Elephas maximus indicus: one gene and its partner. The protein of the gene in region 2 interacts with the protein of the main gene of each other region in a pairwise test. Links are inferred from orthologs where the notes say so. Each region holds a gene or a part of one and is shown on either strand. Other genes may lie near its edges.

Region 1 (8,447 bases), on a different chromosome or scaffold from region 2:
AGAACCTACTTTGCACATTACTACACCTTCCTTAAAGAGGTGAACAAAGTGAGAAAAGAACCTAGTTGGCTGTATTCGACTATTTAATTTTGTTTTTTTCATTTTATAAAAAATCATAAGGGACCTAATTCCTCAGCAAATGCCATGGGCTAAAGCCTCCTCTAGAGGTCCTAAGTGCAAACTCCAGCATCGCAATGTCATCATCATAAGGTAGAGAGCCACCCAGAATACGCCATCTAAATATATCAAAATAACTGGAAACCTAGAAGCATGATAGCTTGGAGAGAGCTGTTAAATAATCTTGCATAACCTCTCTGCTATATACCTGTTTTGGCTAAAATTAGGCATTTAAAAAATGCTCAAAGTAGCTGAAATTCAAAAACTGAATTCTAGGCAAGTTATGCCAGGAGAAGATACTACAAATGATTCCAAAATAATAGATAACACAAATCTTATCATTTGAATTAAGCCATCTCCATATTCAACAGTCTCCTGCAAAAATTTCCCCCATTCTTTCAAAGTAATCCAGCTAATAAGGAAGCTTTTCACAATCTACACTTGATCATTTGCATATATAACAGACTTGGATCCAAAAGGAAACTACACTATTTCAACTGGCCAAAAAGGTTAACAAAAAAAAAAAAACAGTAATTTTTTTAACTAAGACTGGCTGATATTCAGAAAGGGTTTAACCAATTGTAAAATGAGTCACATGATCAATACACAGGAAGCATCCAAATTTTTACCATTTTAAATCTTTCATGAAAAGCATCTGAAAAATATATTTTACTCCTTGTTGATAGAATTGTCATAACCTGTTACATCCAGATTAAAACTACTAACCATGTTTGTTATGCTTGAAAAGCTAAAGCTCTGTGCTAACACCCTTAGGAAAAAGTCTGCCTTTTCCCAACAAAAACATTCTATATAGTACGCAAGAACTACTTAACATAATATGTTAACCTGGAACACTCACCTGAGCTCATTCTTTTAAACAATTAACTCTCAAAACTCTGGTGACATAGTGGTTAAGAGCCACATCTGCTAACTGAAAGGCCGGCAGTTCGAATCCATCAGGCGCTCCTGGGAAATCCTCTGGGGCAGTTCTACTCTGTCCTGTAGGGTCACTACGGTTGGAATCGACTTGACGACAACGGGTTTGGTTTGGGTTATCATGACAGTAACAGAAAATAAAGGCTTCCATAATTAAATTCCAAAATTAACCACTTTATCTCACACAGCCCCTCCCCCAGGGTCACCCCTCTCTCCAGAAGAAAACAAAGAGATTGGCTGATGATTAATGTGTCTTTTCCCAAACTTTACTTCAGAAAAGTGGAGCATAGCTTTCCTTCCCAAGAACTCAGCCCTCCAAGATACTGACACTATAGCTATGTAAGTGGACATTGTTGGTAATATATTACCCAAATCTAAGGCTTCATACTATTAAAAGCCCATGCAAATAATGTTTGGCTGGTCTTAAATCACACTAACAAAAGGTTTAAATAAATTGGTTCAAGTTCATTACTAAGGGAAGAAAAACTGGGTAGAATTTTAAACTAGAGTGTTAAGAAAATATTTTTAATTAAAACTAAATACTGCCTATAACAAATACTAATAGGTTTCAGAACAATTAATGATCACCTCAAGGAGGAAGAACTTTTTTGACGCCAATTTGACCCAAGGCTGTTTTAAATCAGGACCCTTTTATTTTCCTGTTTGCTACTGAGGATCTAGTTGTTAATGTGTCACCAAAAAATAATGCAACGACATGAAATGCACTATAGTGTTTTCACGAACTTTTTTTTTTTTCCAAGACACCCTTCACTGAGCTCTCAAATTATTCGCTCAGGATTTAGTCATACGGATACTCACAGATTTTAACAAAGTGGCATGGCTAAAAGTCACATCCAGTAGTTCAGGAAACTCATCGGCTTAAATCTAAGTGCATACGATTTACAGACAACTTTTTTTAAGTGACTGGACAAGCAACTGATCTAAATGTCAGTATGTTAAGAAAAAGTTGTACACCCTCTCACCCTCGTCAATTTAGTTTAGGAACTTCTCTCTATACAGCTCGTTATTCTGAGACATCTAACATCGAGTCCGTACAAAACCTTTGTTATCTTTGCCACCCCTGAGCAGCTGTTTATTCTTTAATTAAAGCATTCTAACCTCTACTAATCACAGCATGAACACGGCAAAAGATTACTTAGCTCGAGTACTGGTGAAATGAATTGTATTATGACATCCCATACGACAACACCGATTGAATTAAAACACCTCTCCCCTGCCAACTGCTGTTTACAAGAAAGTAGAAGTGCGTTCCGTGTTCGAAAATTTAATTTAAAAGTACTGGTCCTACTCGGTTAAGTCAGACTCTTATGCATCTGCACTTTTATCCTACATATTTTCCTTTACGTAACACTGATCGGAATTTGAGTAGCCCACCCCGACAGCAAACTGGCCCGAAAACTCCATCCTGTTGCAAGAAAAGCCACGTTTTACTCGGGCAGATCGTTTCCTCTCTCCTCCTTAAAATAATGCCTGTGGCCACTTGAGACTTCCCCAGTCGAGCTCCAGAAACTTGCAGGTTTAAATGGCCAAACTGGAACCAACCAGGGCAGCTGTCATCTGAAACTCAGGAAAGCTGAGACCGGCCAACTCTGCTGAACAAGGAAGGGTGCGGAGAGATGTGGCGGGGCCAGTCGGAGGGAAGGCATCAGGCTCCCCGCCCCCTCCCCCCTCCGCCCCATCAATTCGCTTTTCTGCAACCCCAGCGCCGCCATCCTGTTCCTGAATAATTAAACGGGCTGGAGACGGAGCGAGGTGGCCAGAAAGGCAGTTTCTGGTCCGAGTTTTCCGAGCCGAGGCGGTGGGGTCGGCGAGGCCCGGGGCTGCATCTCCACGCGCAGACTTTTCCCCGGGGCTGCGGAGGAAAGGGGGCAACCCCCGAGGCCGGTGGGGCAGCCGGAAGCGGGACGCGGGGAGTGACGTGCACGAGGGGATGACAAAGGGGCGCGGGGGCCCCGGCTGCGCCGCCCGCGGGCCGGCAGGGGGTCGGGACAGGTGGCCGGGCCTGGCCGGGAACAATGGGGGGCCGAGGCTGCCCCCTGGCGCTCACCTACCTCCGGTGCCTTCCGAGTTCTCGTTGAGGCTGCCCGAGGAGTCGTGCTGGGCGCCCACACACCCGCCCATGGGGGCACCCGGCGCCTCGTCCGCCACCTCCGGGCGCTCGTCCGGGCCCGCCGCCGCCTCAGCCTCCTCCGGCGCCGACGCCGCCGAGCTCCGGACAGGCGCGCCGCTCCGCTCGCCCGTCGCGGCCCAGCCTCCGCCCCCCTCGCCGCTCCACCCACCGCCTTAGCTCGGCCCCTTCCTCCGCGCCCACTTCTACCTCAGCCTCCCGGCCGTCCGCCCGCCAGGCCTGGCCCGCGCGCCGCCCTCGCCTCCGGCTCGGTCCCGCCAGGCCGGGGCTGGCCCATCCCGGGCGGGCCCCAGCGCCCGACTCGCTCCCTCACAGCCCCGCACGCGTGCGTCCGGGCGACCCCCGCGCCGACGCCGCCCGTCCGCCAGGCCCCATCGGTTCCCCGCCCCGCGGCGCCGCCCTCCAGCTCCGCGGCCTGGGCTCTGCCTGGCCCGCCCGGAACGGCCGGGAGGGGGCGTGGCCTCGGGAGGCCTGCGCTCTGATTGGCTGCGGGAGGCTGCGAGGGGTGTGGAAGGGGAGAGAAAGAGGCGAAGGGGGATCAGTCCCAGGAAAAGAGGAAGGGAAAGGGGGAGAGAAGGAAGACGGGAAGAGGACAGGAAAGGGGGGAAGAGAGATGTAGCAGGAAAGGATGAACAAACGTGAGAAATGAGAACAAAGTCGAGTTTCTGGCTTCTCGGACGTCTGCTCTTTATCTTTCTGGTAGAAGCGGGTCGGGAGTGGGCCACAGAAAATAATGGAAGACTCGCAGATGAGGGCTGGCGATTTCCCAAATAGCTGGAGGGAGGGGCGGTTTTCTGGCTCAATGCTGAGGTCCCAGCACCTTTTGGAATCGTGTAGAGTTCAGTTGGGTTGGTATCTCAAGTCTGGGCTTCCACTTACCGTCCGTATCCCTACACCCCCCCCTTAAATCACTGTGTCCCCGTATTAGAGTCGGAGAGGGAGGCTGTCACTATGATTGCAGACTGGACTCAGATTACCGAGGTGGGGCATCCCGTGTGGGGAGAGATAAGACTGACCACAGTTCAGGGGGCGTGGGTTTGTTTCATTTTCACAGGGATGATTGTGAAGACACAGTACTGCTTCTCCAGATCCTGCCTTTAGGTACCTTAAGTAGTTGTTAGAGCAACGTGGAGTATAAATAAAATTAGCCTGCGTTTTTAAAACTAGAATGTGGTCCATTGACCACACCCCACATTCTTGGCCTTTGCTCTTCCAATCTAAGCCAAATTGTTAATGGCCCCTACAGAATTGTGCTTCCTTTGATGCCTCATTGAAGGAGTCCTGGCAGTGCAGTGGTTAAGCGCTCGGCTGCCAACTCAAACGTCAGCAGTTGGAATTCACCAGCCGATGCACGGGAGAAAGACGTGGCAGTCTGCTTTCCTAAAGATGGCAATCTGTTTCCTGAACATTACAGCCTTGGGAACCCTCCGGGGCAGTTCTCCTCTGTTTTTTAGGGTCTCTATCGGGATCGGCTCTAAGGTAGTGAGTTATGATGTGTCATTAACAAAGTGCGATATGCGTAGGACACAACCTTGCTTGATGAAAGTGAAGAGGACTTGAAGCACTTATGATGGAGATCAAAGACCACAGCCTTCAGTATGGATTACACCTCAACATAAAACAAAAATCCACACAACTGGGCCAATAAGCAACATCGTGATAAATGGAGAAAAGATTGAAGTTGCCAGGGATTTCATTTTACTTGGATCCACAATAAACACCCATGGATGCAGCAATCAAGAAATCAAACAACATATTGCATTGGACAAATCTGCTGCAGAGGAACTCTTTTAAACTATTAAAAAGCCAAGATGTCACTTTGAGGACTAAGGTGTGCCTGACCCAACCCGTGGTGTTTTCAGTAACCTCATATCCATATGAAAACTTGACAGTGAATAAGGAAAATGGAAGAAGAATTGATGCCTTTGAATTATGGTGTTGGCGAAGAATATTGAATTTACCAAGGGCTGCCAGAAGAACGAACAAATCTGTCTTGGAAGAAGTACAGCCAGAATGCTGCTTAGAAGCGGGGATGGCAAGACTTCTTCTAGACTACTTTGGACCTGTTATCAGGAGGGATTAATCCCTGCAGAAGGACATCGTGCTTGATAAAGTAGAGGGTCGTCAAAAAAGAGGAAGACCCTCAACGAGATGGGTTGACAATCAGTGGCTGCAACAATGGGCTCAAACATAGGAATGGTTGTGAGGATGGTACAAGATCAGGCAGTGCTTCATTCTGTTGTACCTAGGGTGGCTATGAGTCAGAACTGACTCGAGGGCATCTAACAACATGGTTATCTTCATGTTTGGGCCTTTGTAAAGCTTATATCTAAGAGCTGTTTTAACTATCTGCTCCATTTTTCTTTCAGACTTTCTTTTTTTAACATCCTGGGTCAGCTTTTGCTTAGCATTTAAAAAAAAAAAAGCAACATTTTTTTAAGTGAAATACCTAAGAAAAGACACTGCAGTTGGAATTTGCATTTAAATATATTCTCATATACTGCTGGTGGGAGTGTAATTGGTTCAATCTTTTTGCAAAGCAATTTGGCAATGTGGATCAAGAGCCTTAAATATGTTCATACCTTTGACTTGGGATTATTCCACATCTGGGAAGCCAGCTCACAGGAAGAGTCCAAAATGCAGACAAAGATTTAGGTCCTTGTATTCATTTGCTAATCAGATAAAAATAAGGGTTAAACATACACAACACACAGGCCTCTACATTTATATTGAAGCACAAATGTCTTGTGAAAAATAGAAGTCTGCTGTATTAAACTTTTACTGAAGAATTAGCATTGTCCAAAAAAAAAAAAAATTTTTTTTTTTTCAACTGTAGCCATGAATCTTCAAAAAGAAATTACACACAATCGATGTTTTTATGAGTTTTCAGGGTGGCTCGTGAGATTCAGAAACTGTTCCACAAAGACTTCTATCTGATCATTCTCAGCTGAGTATTCACGTTGGCAGACAGACATCACTTCCCTGAAGGAGAGAAGCTGCAAGCTAAATCTTTTCAAAGAGACTGCTTTATCCTGAATTTTGCTTCAGAAATTGCAGAAACCAAGGCTGACTTCTACGATGTCTATTAAACAGATGGTAGGCAACCAAGCGATAAGTGCTTTCTGATGAGCGCCGTGGAGTTGGCACTAGGAAAGAGAGCAGTCTCATCCATTTTACAGATTCACAGCTACGAATGTTCTCCACCCTGTCTTCATCTTAAAGCAGAGAGACATGTTTCTAGGAAGCACAGTAGTACAGCAGTGAAAGGACCAGGCTCTGCTTTAAAACTTCCTGGGTTGGGATCCAGGTTCCATTATGTACTAGCTATGTGACCTTAAATTTCTATAGAGCTCAGTTTTCTCACCTATAAAGCAAGGTCAATAATAATAGCTCTGTGGGGCTCTTTATTAACTGTCCTGTCTGTATCATGTCTAGCATTATCGATCTAAACTTCCCAGCACGGCCCAATCCACTTAACATGTTCCCGTAGAGCCAGTGCTTTCTTGTGTGTGTCTGTTTTTTTAATAACAGCTTTATTGAGATATAATTCACATACCATATAATTCACTGACTTATAAAGTGATATAATTCAGTGGTGTTTAATATATTCACAAAGTTGTGCAACCATTACCACAATCAATTTTAGAACGTTTGCGTCATCCCAAAAGAAACCCCATACTCATCTCTCCCCAGTCCAAGGCAAACACTAGTCTATTTCTCTCTCTATGGTTCTGCCTATTCTGGACATTTCATATAAATGGAATCATACAGTGTAGCCTTTTGTGACTGGCTTCTTTCACTTTGCGTGTTTTCAGGGTTCAACCATGTTGTACCATCTATAAGTTCTTTTTATAACCATAAATGGAGTAATATTCAACTGTATGGCTATGCCACATTTTATTTATCCGTTAATTAGTTGATGGACCTTTGAGTTGCTTCCGCTATTATGAATAACGCTGCTATGAACATTTGTGTGCAAGTTTATGTGTGGATATATGTTTTCAGTTGTCTTGGGTATATACCTAGGAGAGGAATTGGTGGGTCATATGGTAACTCTAAAGTTTAACATTTTGAGGAACTGCCACACTGTTTTCCAAAGCAGCTACACTGTTTTACCTTACTCCCAGCAATGTATGAGCAGTCCAGTTTCTCTACATCCGCACCAACACTTGTTATTCTCTATCTTTTTTATTACAATCATCCTAGTGGGTGTGAGGTAGTACCTCAGTGTAGTTTTTATTTGCATTTTCCTAATGACCAATGATGTTGAGCACCTTTCTGTCTGCTTATTAGCCATTCATATATCCTTTTTGGAGAAATGTCTATCTGGATCCTTTGCCCATTTAAAAATACTTATCGTTGAGTTTTAAGAGTTCTTTGTGTATTCTAGGTAAAGACTCCTATTAGATATATGGTTTGTAATATTTTCTCCTACTCTGGGATGTCTTTTCACTTTCTTGATAGTGTCCTTTGCAGCACAAGTTTTTAATTTTGATGAAATCTGATTTATCTATTTTTTTTTTCTTTTATTGCTTTTGCTTTTGGATACATAGTTGAGAAATCATTGTCTAAAACCCGAGTCGTGGAGAATTATTCCTGTGTTTTCCTCTAAGAGTTTTATAACTTTTGCTCTTATGTTTAAGTTTTTGATCCATCTTTAGTTAATTTTTTTATATGGTATGAGGTAAGGATCCAGCTTCAGCCTTATGCATGTGTATATCCAGTTGTCCCAGCACCATTTGTTGAAAAGACTATTCTTTCTCAATTGAATTGTATTGGCACCTGTGCTCAGAATCAACTGATCATAAATTTGAGGGTTTATTTCTGGACTCTCAATTCTGTTCCTTTGATCTTTATATCTGTCTTTATGCCAGCATCATACTGTTTTGATTACTGTCATTTTGTAGTAAATTTTGAAATTGGGAAGTGTGAGTCCTTGAACTTTGTTCTCTTTCAAGATTGTTTCGGCTATTCTGGGTCTCTAACATTTTCACATGAATTTTAGAATCAGCTTGCCAACTTATGCAAAAAAAGGCAGCTGGGATTTTGATAGGGAACGCGTTGAATATGTAGGTTAACTGCCATGTTAATAACATTAAGCCTTCCAGTCCAGGTACATGTGCATCTTTCCATTTATTCATGTCTTAAATTTCTTTCAATGATGTTTTATGGTTTTCAATGTACAAGTTTTGACACTTCTTTTGTTACCATTAATAAGTCCTCTTTATCCATAAAATATATTCCG
Region 2 (8,293 bases):
GTCCAGGCACTTCTGTAGCTTTTCCTGAGGGGAGGGGGAGGCAGTGGGAAGGTAACAATCGGGGTTGGCTAGCACATGCTTCATTCAGAGGTCAATCCATTTGTTTGCTTATTACCCATCTCACCATCACTTGATCCAACTCCCTTACTTGCCTGTCATTTGGGTGTCAATTTCTTACTGGTCCCTTCTGCCACCAACCTATCCAAGTTATCTCTGCTCACCCAACTTTCTTCTCACTCTCGTAGCTTTCCAACAGGCACCAACCTCTGTGTCCTTCCCCAATCCTGTCCATTTTCTTACAGTATGTAACTGCCTATTGCTGTCAAAGTGACCTTCTGTACCCTGGTATCCTTCTTTAAACCTGTCCTTCCATCCAACTCTGACCACCTATAAAAATAATAAAATCTTCATTGCTTATACTGTAAATTACCTCAAATCTTGTTTCCAACATTATTTAGCAAAGTAAGTGACAACATGCTAAGACAATGAAATCTCTAATTCCCATAACTCAAATATCTACCATGTCCCAGGAGCAAGTTATACCAGATGCTATGTTATCCATTACTAGAGAAGATGCAAACAACAGACTAGTTCAGCATGGACTGGGGATTATCAGTCTAAAGAAGTGGTATTACCTACTCCGAATACATGGGAAATAAGGGGTATTCTGAGCAAGGGGAGAGAACGAGGAAACCAGACCACTGTTCAATTCTTCCTAAGTTAGATCTTCTCCATGTGGTTTCATTCATTTATGAAAAATATAACACGTCCCAAGATCACACATACAGACATTCACACTTAAGACTCAAATGTGTTGCAAAAGTCAAGAGTATAATTCTGGATCCTCCATACCACTGCTCTTCATACTTGAGGATAATTGAGTTGATCAGGAGTACCTTGGGCCCCCAGTGTGTGTAGCTCTGAGAGGATCACAGAGTGAAGACCAGATGCAGTCTTGCTCTCAAGGAATTTATAATCCTCTACTCAGGGAGTCTCCCATCCACCGCTGCTTCGCCCTCTTTCCCCATGTTGGTATCATGCATCTGGTTCCCCACCTTGTACTCCTGTGTGGCATCGTCCAGCGGCACGACGGTGTGGACTCGGTGTGTGTGGGAAATTGCACATATCAAACATACAGGCTCCTGGTCCTCATAGCAGAAGAGGTTGAGGGCCTCATGGTGCTGGGGGCAGAGGCTCTCATCCCGGATCTTCCTCTTGACAGCCTGGAGCTGCTTGGCAATTTCTACCATGCTGCCTAGTTGCCGATTGGGTCGGAGACTGCGGTAGCGGGACGTTTTTCGACACACAGGACAAGGGAAGTCCCTCTCCAGGTCCTCCCACCAGCGTGTGATGCAAGCTTTGCAGAAGTTGTGCCCACACTCAATGATGACAGGCTCCTTCAGGTACTCCAGGCACACAGAGCAGCTTGCCTCCACCTGTAAGTTCTCCAGAGCTGCAGCTGTGGATGCTGCAGAGGCCCCAGCCTCTAACAGACCCGTCTCTGCCATTATTTAACTTGGGGATAGGAGGAGGGGCAGAGAAAAGAAAAATATTAGTTGGAGGTTTAATTTTCTTGCATCCCTGGCCTGACATTTACTCTCATATTAAACCCTACACCCACTTTTAACCCATCTTGGTATTCTCCATCTTTCCCCCCACTTGATTCAACCTCTCTTTTCTTTCTCCATTTCCAAATTTTACTCCCAACTATCAACCTAATCTTTTTTTCCCCCTCTTCAGCAAACTGACACTCATCCCTCAATATTTCCCGTCTGCTTTCTCTTGTTAAAAACAGAGGTTTCTTCCTACCTTAGCCCAATATACTCCTAATCAGGTTCATCCCATTTGTATCTTAGAACCAATTAGTTCCAGACCAATGTATCCCCAGCTTGATATATTTTTCTTATAGATGAGAAAGGAGTTTGAGAAACTGCAAACTGCCATAAAAGTCAAAGTATTAATAAAGCCTAATCTTGATTCCCTGACACTCTTCTCTCATTCTTTCAAAGGGTAATAAATGGAATGGGTTAGGTGAGGGTAACAATCTCCTTTTTAAAGGAAAGTTTGAAATTATTCTTTTATCAGACTAGCCTAGAGAAAATTCTTGAAATGAAATGACTCACACAACATCCCACTTCTATTTGTGGGCATTTGGACAGTTGGAACTGCTGAAAAATGATAAATTTATGGCAACTATACTAAAGGGTACGTTATTGAGTTCAAACCAATAACCTTTTAAAAAGAGGGCTGATAAGTCTACTGTAAATATTGAGCAATGACTGCAGTCTTTCAAGATAGCTATTCATAATTAATTCCCTGGACATACTGTGTCTTCAACTAATAGGTTCTGGAGTGGTTGGGGATTAAGAGAAAGAAAGTAAATAGGCAATCAAAATCTCCCTCAAGTGATGCCTCAAAAGAACTGGAAATGCAGCAAAGAGATTTATAAAGCAGAAGGCTGGTCCCCTACTCCATCCGTAGAATGGCAACACTTTTATCCAGAAGTTAAGTTCATTTGTTTATCCCTATATCCACACTGCACATCCATCACCCCGAGGGATCCAATGGAAGGAAGGAAATTCAGCAGATCTATGTGCTGAGATAGATGTGGCCATGAAATGAATTGGGCTAACAACTATTAACAATTATACAGGGTTGCTATGAGTTGGAATCAACTCAGCGGCAACAGGTTTGGTTTTGATATACTGACAGTACATACGACAGTGTTTAATTTGGAATAGGGACTCAATAACTTAACTGAACTAGAATTTTCCCCCCAACGTTAGATGAGTTCTGTCAGATGAGTTTTCTCTAACCACGGGAATCCAATTTTGACTGGTGACCTGCCCTTTCCCCAATCTTCTTGGAAACTAAGTGGCCTTCTCACCTGAAGTGAGTTGAATTACATGCAGTTAAGGGCCAGGACAGACCTAGACTGGCAAAGAAAACGGAACAGTGGTGTGAAAGACAGATGGATAAAGGGTCTGGGAAATATGGAGAGGACTCAGAGCTCGCCTGAGGCCTCGCTTGCCTGTGGGTTAGTCCTTCCCCTCTCTCTATTCCTCGTGTTTCAGTGGAAGGGCAAACTTCAGGGACGTCCTCATTGTGTTTCTACCACTGTCCAAGGTCCCATCTTGCAACCCTCTCCTGAGCGCTGTCCACAACTCTGTCCCACCCCCGTCTCCATCTTCTCCCGCCAGATCTGGCGCAAGAGATTGGAGAGTGGGGTGAAGAAACGTCGTGCCTGGCAGGGGAAGGAAGGACGCGTGTCTAGGTTTGGAGGTGTGACGTTAAGGTGGGATGCCGGCCGCTATGACGCAGCCGAGATCGGCGGTGACGGCTCAGTTTCACCGCGGGAGGCGAGCGGCAGCGGGACGGGGGAACGGCGGGGTAGCCAAGCAACGCCGGACGCGCTGACGTCGCCGGGGCGGCAAAACGTCCGCCCGGGCCTGAGGCGGGCGGAGGCAGCTGTAGTTACGTGCAGGGGGCCGGTGACGCAGTCGCGGGTCACTAGGACGCGGCAGGCGGAGCCGGCCGGCCGGGACAGGCCCCGGGGCACGGGCGCGGCGGCGGGACGGCACCTACCTTCCCGGCTTCGGGTCCGGGAGTGCGGGGCGCGGAGCCACCGGAGCGCTGCCTCCCTCCTTCCTCCTCCCCCCGCCCCGCAGCGCGACACACAATACTCGCCGGAAGCGGAAGCCGCGCCGCGCGGAGAGGCTCCTGTCGAAGTCGGGTGGCTGGAGGCGGTCGCGTGAGGGCTTAGCGGTCCCTGCGGAAGAAGGAGGAATGGGGCCGTAGGTGAGACCCGGCAGGAGGCGTCAAGGGCGTAAAGGGACCCTGAGGGGCAGTTGGCTGAGATGCCGGCGTCCAGGTGACCAGAAGAATCCGCTGGAGAAAAAGGGTCGCGCATGCGCATGGTTGAATCCTGAAGCCCATTGTCCGCAGGGCGCCGGACGGGATCCGGGGCAGGAACAGCTCTCCCGTCCAGGCTGCGGCCCGGGCTTTGGTCTGGCTTGGTGGGTCCTTGGGGGGGGGGTCAGGAACGGTAGGGCAAGGGCAGGTTGGTGTGGTCCAGCCACACTTTTCCTCTCTTTAAGCCAGTCCGGGAGAAAGTGCTAGTTGAGGTGGCGTCCAGTTACGTGGCGGACCTGCAGGTCTCTGCTAGGACGTCACTTCCGACTGGTTGAGAGTCAGTCTTTTGAGTTCTCTAAGCCGAGTGCTTCAAAAGCTCTTCGTCCAGCCCCTGCTTTGTTGGGTTTGTCGAAATGATCTGCTTCTGTCGCTAGAATGAGAGTCCAGACAGCGGTGGTACCAAGTCTCTGCTGTTCACTTTTTTATCCTCAGCTCCTCGCTCGGGGCCGACCGATGCAAACGCTCCGTAAACTCTAGTTAACTTGATGAGACCCAGTGCCCGTTCTTTGCACGTCTGGGACTGTGATTTGCGTTTCTCCGCTTGTTCGGGGACTCCAGGCTTTGCATTTTAGCCTTCCTTTCTCCTGCAGTTGGAAGCTCCGCAGGCACGTGACTTTGGAGGAAGGGGGTGAGGTGATGGGGCTGAGGAGGAGTCTGCTGGGTAGAGGTGTGATGGGTCTGGGGGAGGACTCCTTCCGGAGGAGTAGGCGCTGGCTAGAGAGGTGTGATAGGGCTGGGGAGGAGTCCTCTGGGTAGAGGTGTGATGGGGGAGGGGAGGAGTAGGTGCTGGGTAGAGGGGCTGGAACGGTCGAGGAGTTAGTGCTAGGTGGAGTATGAGACTGCTGGTAGAAAAGAAAGCAGTTTGTACCCTCCGTCTTGGAGAGGAAATGCCACCAGCTAGCCCCAAGTGTAAGTTGTGATGCTGTTTACAAACACCGTGCAATATTTAAGCTCTCATCCTGACAGCCAGGAATTTTTTACTTGCAGAAAATATGATCAAATGAGCGAGGTATAAATATTTAGGATCTCACATGCTAAATCCAGTTGGTCTGCTTTTTTCTTATTGTTCCTTTGCTTTTCACTTTTTTCGGTAGCCAAAGATTTGAAGGAAAACGAGAAAATTACATTTACAGGTAGTCCCTGATTGGAGTTAGGAAAAGCCGCACTTAACAACGCCTCGCTTCCTTTTTTTTTTTTTTAATATCTTGTTTGTAAAATGCACTGTATACAATGCTACAACACGTTGTTTGCTGATGTTTTCATCCTAGATGTTCACTTGCAGATGTTTATATGTAACGTTTCCAACCCCCAAAGACAAATGAAGATTTGGTTTTAAAAGTTACTGTACTGATAATAAAAGGCAATAATGAAACTAAAAAAAAAAGGTAATTCGATTTATGTCAGAACCGTCTTATGACAGTCATCTGAACCCGGTCTTAAGGTGGGGACTACCTGTAGTAACATTTTTTTCTCATTACTATTTGATCCTTACGGATCTTATTTTAGCAGCAGTACTTGGTCCCATTTGCAAAACACCTCAACTGTAAGGGAGAGTTGCTGGAGGACCAGCCTCTTTAGCCTCTTTTGGAGGGAGAGTGATGCTGGTGAGAGTTGCTCTGGTTTTGATTTGTTAATTGTAACTTTTAAGGTGTTAATAGCACTTCTATCTGGCTTGCTGTTTGTAAGGACTAGGAATGTGGGTTAGATTATAAAGAAGTTCCCAGGAGGGACTGCTTCTCCAAGACTGAAGAATTTGCTTGCCTGGAGACTAGCAGATTATTAAGGGGACTTAACGCTAAGTAACGAGGGAAAGTGAGGGAAATGAGTAGGTAAAACTATAAAATATAAAGGGCATGAAGTATGGCACAGAACAAGGGTTGCCAAGCTATCTGTAAAAAGCTGGGTAGGACATATTTTTGGCTTTGAGGCCTATGTGGTGTTTGTTGCCACTAAACTCTGTCTTTATAACTGGAAAACAGCATTACAAAATGCTAAATAGGTGTGTTCCAATACAATTTTGTGGATCCTGAAACTTGAATTTCATGTAATTTTCATGTATCATGAGATATTACTCTCCTTTTGATTTTTTTTTCCCTAACCATTTAAAAATGTAAAAAATTTTCTTACCTTTTAGGCCGTAGAAAAACAGGTGGCAGACTGTAGCCTGGTGTGGAATAATAAGTGCGCAGTAATTTTGAAGAGAGAATTGAGAATTAGGGTGAACACGGTGCTGTGATCTCTTATTTTCATGTCTGTATAATACACTTTTTATAATACACAAATGGTAATAAAGTGAATCTGAGATCTTAACACTATTTGTTATGACCTCGTGAAACTTGGTCTTCTGAGACTTATGAGTGTACTAGGATACAAGTGCATTCTTTAAACAAGGGTATTCCTTTCTTAAAAGGGGTTGTAGTTCACAAGAGGTGAAATAACATTGGGTTTTTATGTTGATTTATACCAAGGGATTTCCACCACAAGAGTATTAAGGCATGAATTATCATAATAGAAAAGAGGGTAATTTAAAATTTTGTTTTTAAAATATGTTTTTAAATATTTATTCCAGAAAAGAAGAGAAGAGATCTTGAGAAACCGCTGAGTCAAGTAGAGAAAATGGCTATGTTAGCAGTGTAGGTCAGAAAACAGTAGAGGTCAGATAAACGGTAGGCTAGCGGAGACAGGGTTCAACTGTGCGAACTTCTGAGATGCTCATTCAGAAAAAGCATCTAATTTTCCTCCATCACTTTTTTATTATAAACATTTACAAACATACAGGAAGAACAGTCTTCAGCCTGCTCTTTATACTTGGTATATCCTGGCTGTCTTTTATCTTTCCAGTTCAGCCATATAGAATGACCTTATTATTTTTAAGTTTGTGTTATTACTTCATTGTGTAGACATATAATTTATTCCATCATTTTATTACTAGTGGACATTTAAGTCCTTTCCAAGTCCTCTTCTTATAAGAAAGGCTGCAGTGAACATCCTTGCACATCTGTCTTTAGATTGTCACGCCATTATATTTGTAGGACAAATTCCTGGAAGGTAGATTGCTGTGTCAATGGCATGGAAATTTTAAATTTTCATAGTTTTGTTCCTCTATAGTGTACCTGCTTATACCCACACTAGGATATTATAAGAGAGTGTTTCTCTACAGGGGAGCCAATGCTGATCTTTTTGATATTTAAAAAAATTTTACTAATACTTTTGATTTGTACTTTTATTGGTTGCATAATAGGTCTTGTTCTGCATGTACTATAATTTTTCAACCTTTTGTCAGTAGATGGGCATTTCTTTCTTTTTTTTTTTTTTAACTTTATTGAGCTTTAGATGAAAGTTTACAGCTTAAGTTAGTTTCTCATTCAAAAATTTATACACATATTGTTTTGTGACATTGGTTGCAATCACCACAATGTGACAGCATGCTGTCCCTCTGCTCCCCCTTTTCACCCTGGGTTCTCTGTGTCCATTCGTCCAATTCCTCTCCCTTCCTGCCTTCTCGTTGCCCATTTGGTCTCGTATATTGGATTGAACTAAGAAGCACTTTACTCACATGTATTATTGTTTTACAGGCATGTCTAATCCTTGTTTGAAAAGTGAGCTTTGGGAGTAGTTTCAGTTCTGAGTTAGCAGAGTGTCCTGGGGCCATAGTTTCAGGGGTTCCTCCAGTCTCTCTCTGACCAGTAAGTCTGGTCTTTTTTCATGAATTTGAGTATTGTTCTACATTTTTCTCCTGTTCTGTCTGGGACTGTGTTGTGATCTCTGTCAGCATGGTTGGTGGTGATAGCCGGGCACCATCTAGTTTTCTGGGCCCAGGCTGGTGGAGGCTCTGGCTTATGTGATCCTTTAGTACTTTGGGCTAATATTTTCCTTGTGTCTTTGGTTTTCCTTTGTTTGGACAGGATGGGACCAATAGATGTATCTTAGATGGTCGCTCGCAAAGTTTTAAGACGCTACTCACCAAAGTAGGATGTAGAACATTTTCTTTATGAACTATGTATGCCAATTGACCTAGATGTGCCCCAGGACAATGGTCCCCAGCCCTAGCAGCTCAGTACCTCGAGGTGTTTGGATGTGTCTAGGAAATTTCTGTGTCTTTGCCTTGGTCAAGTTTTGCTGACTTCCCTATATTGTATGTTATAAAGTTGACAGTTGTCTACTATCTAGTTAGTGATTTCCTCTCCCTCTCCCTCCTCACTCTTGTAACCATCAAAGAATGTTTTTTTCTGTTTGTAATCCTTTTCTTGAGTTCTTATAATAGTGGTCTCATACAATATTTCACCTTTTGTTACTGATTTATTCCACTCAGCATAATGCTCTCCGGATTCACCCATGTTGTGAGATGTTTTGCAGATTCATCATTGTTCTTTATTGTTGC

Evidence for each region. The genes of interacting proteins can lie anywhere in the genome.
Region 1: the proteins of TRIM39 (region 2) and UBTD2 interact in a two-hybrid assay, tested with the Homo sapiens proteins (2 studies listed by BioGRID and IntAct). The link is inferred for Elephas maximus indicus from reciprocal best matches to the Homo sapiens genes TRIM39 and UBTD2.

The regions. Positions count from the first base shown.
Region 1 is NC_064820.1:191,267,275-191,275,721, forward strand, and holds the start of UBTD2 (ubiquitin domain-containing protein 2), read right to left. Parts: upstream 3,341-8,447; 5' UTR 3,196-3,340; coding exon 3,126-3,195; exon of another isoform or gene 987-3,125; coding exon of another isoform or gene 977-986; intron 1-976.
Region 2 is NC_064819.1:90,747,129-90,755,421, reverse strand, and holds the start of TRIM39 (E3 ubiquitin-protein ligase TRIM39), read right to left. Parts: upstream 3,671-8,293; 5' UTR 3,586-3,670; intron 1,516-3,585; 5' UTR 1,509-1,515; coding exon 1,056-1,508; intron 25-1,055; coding exon 1-24.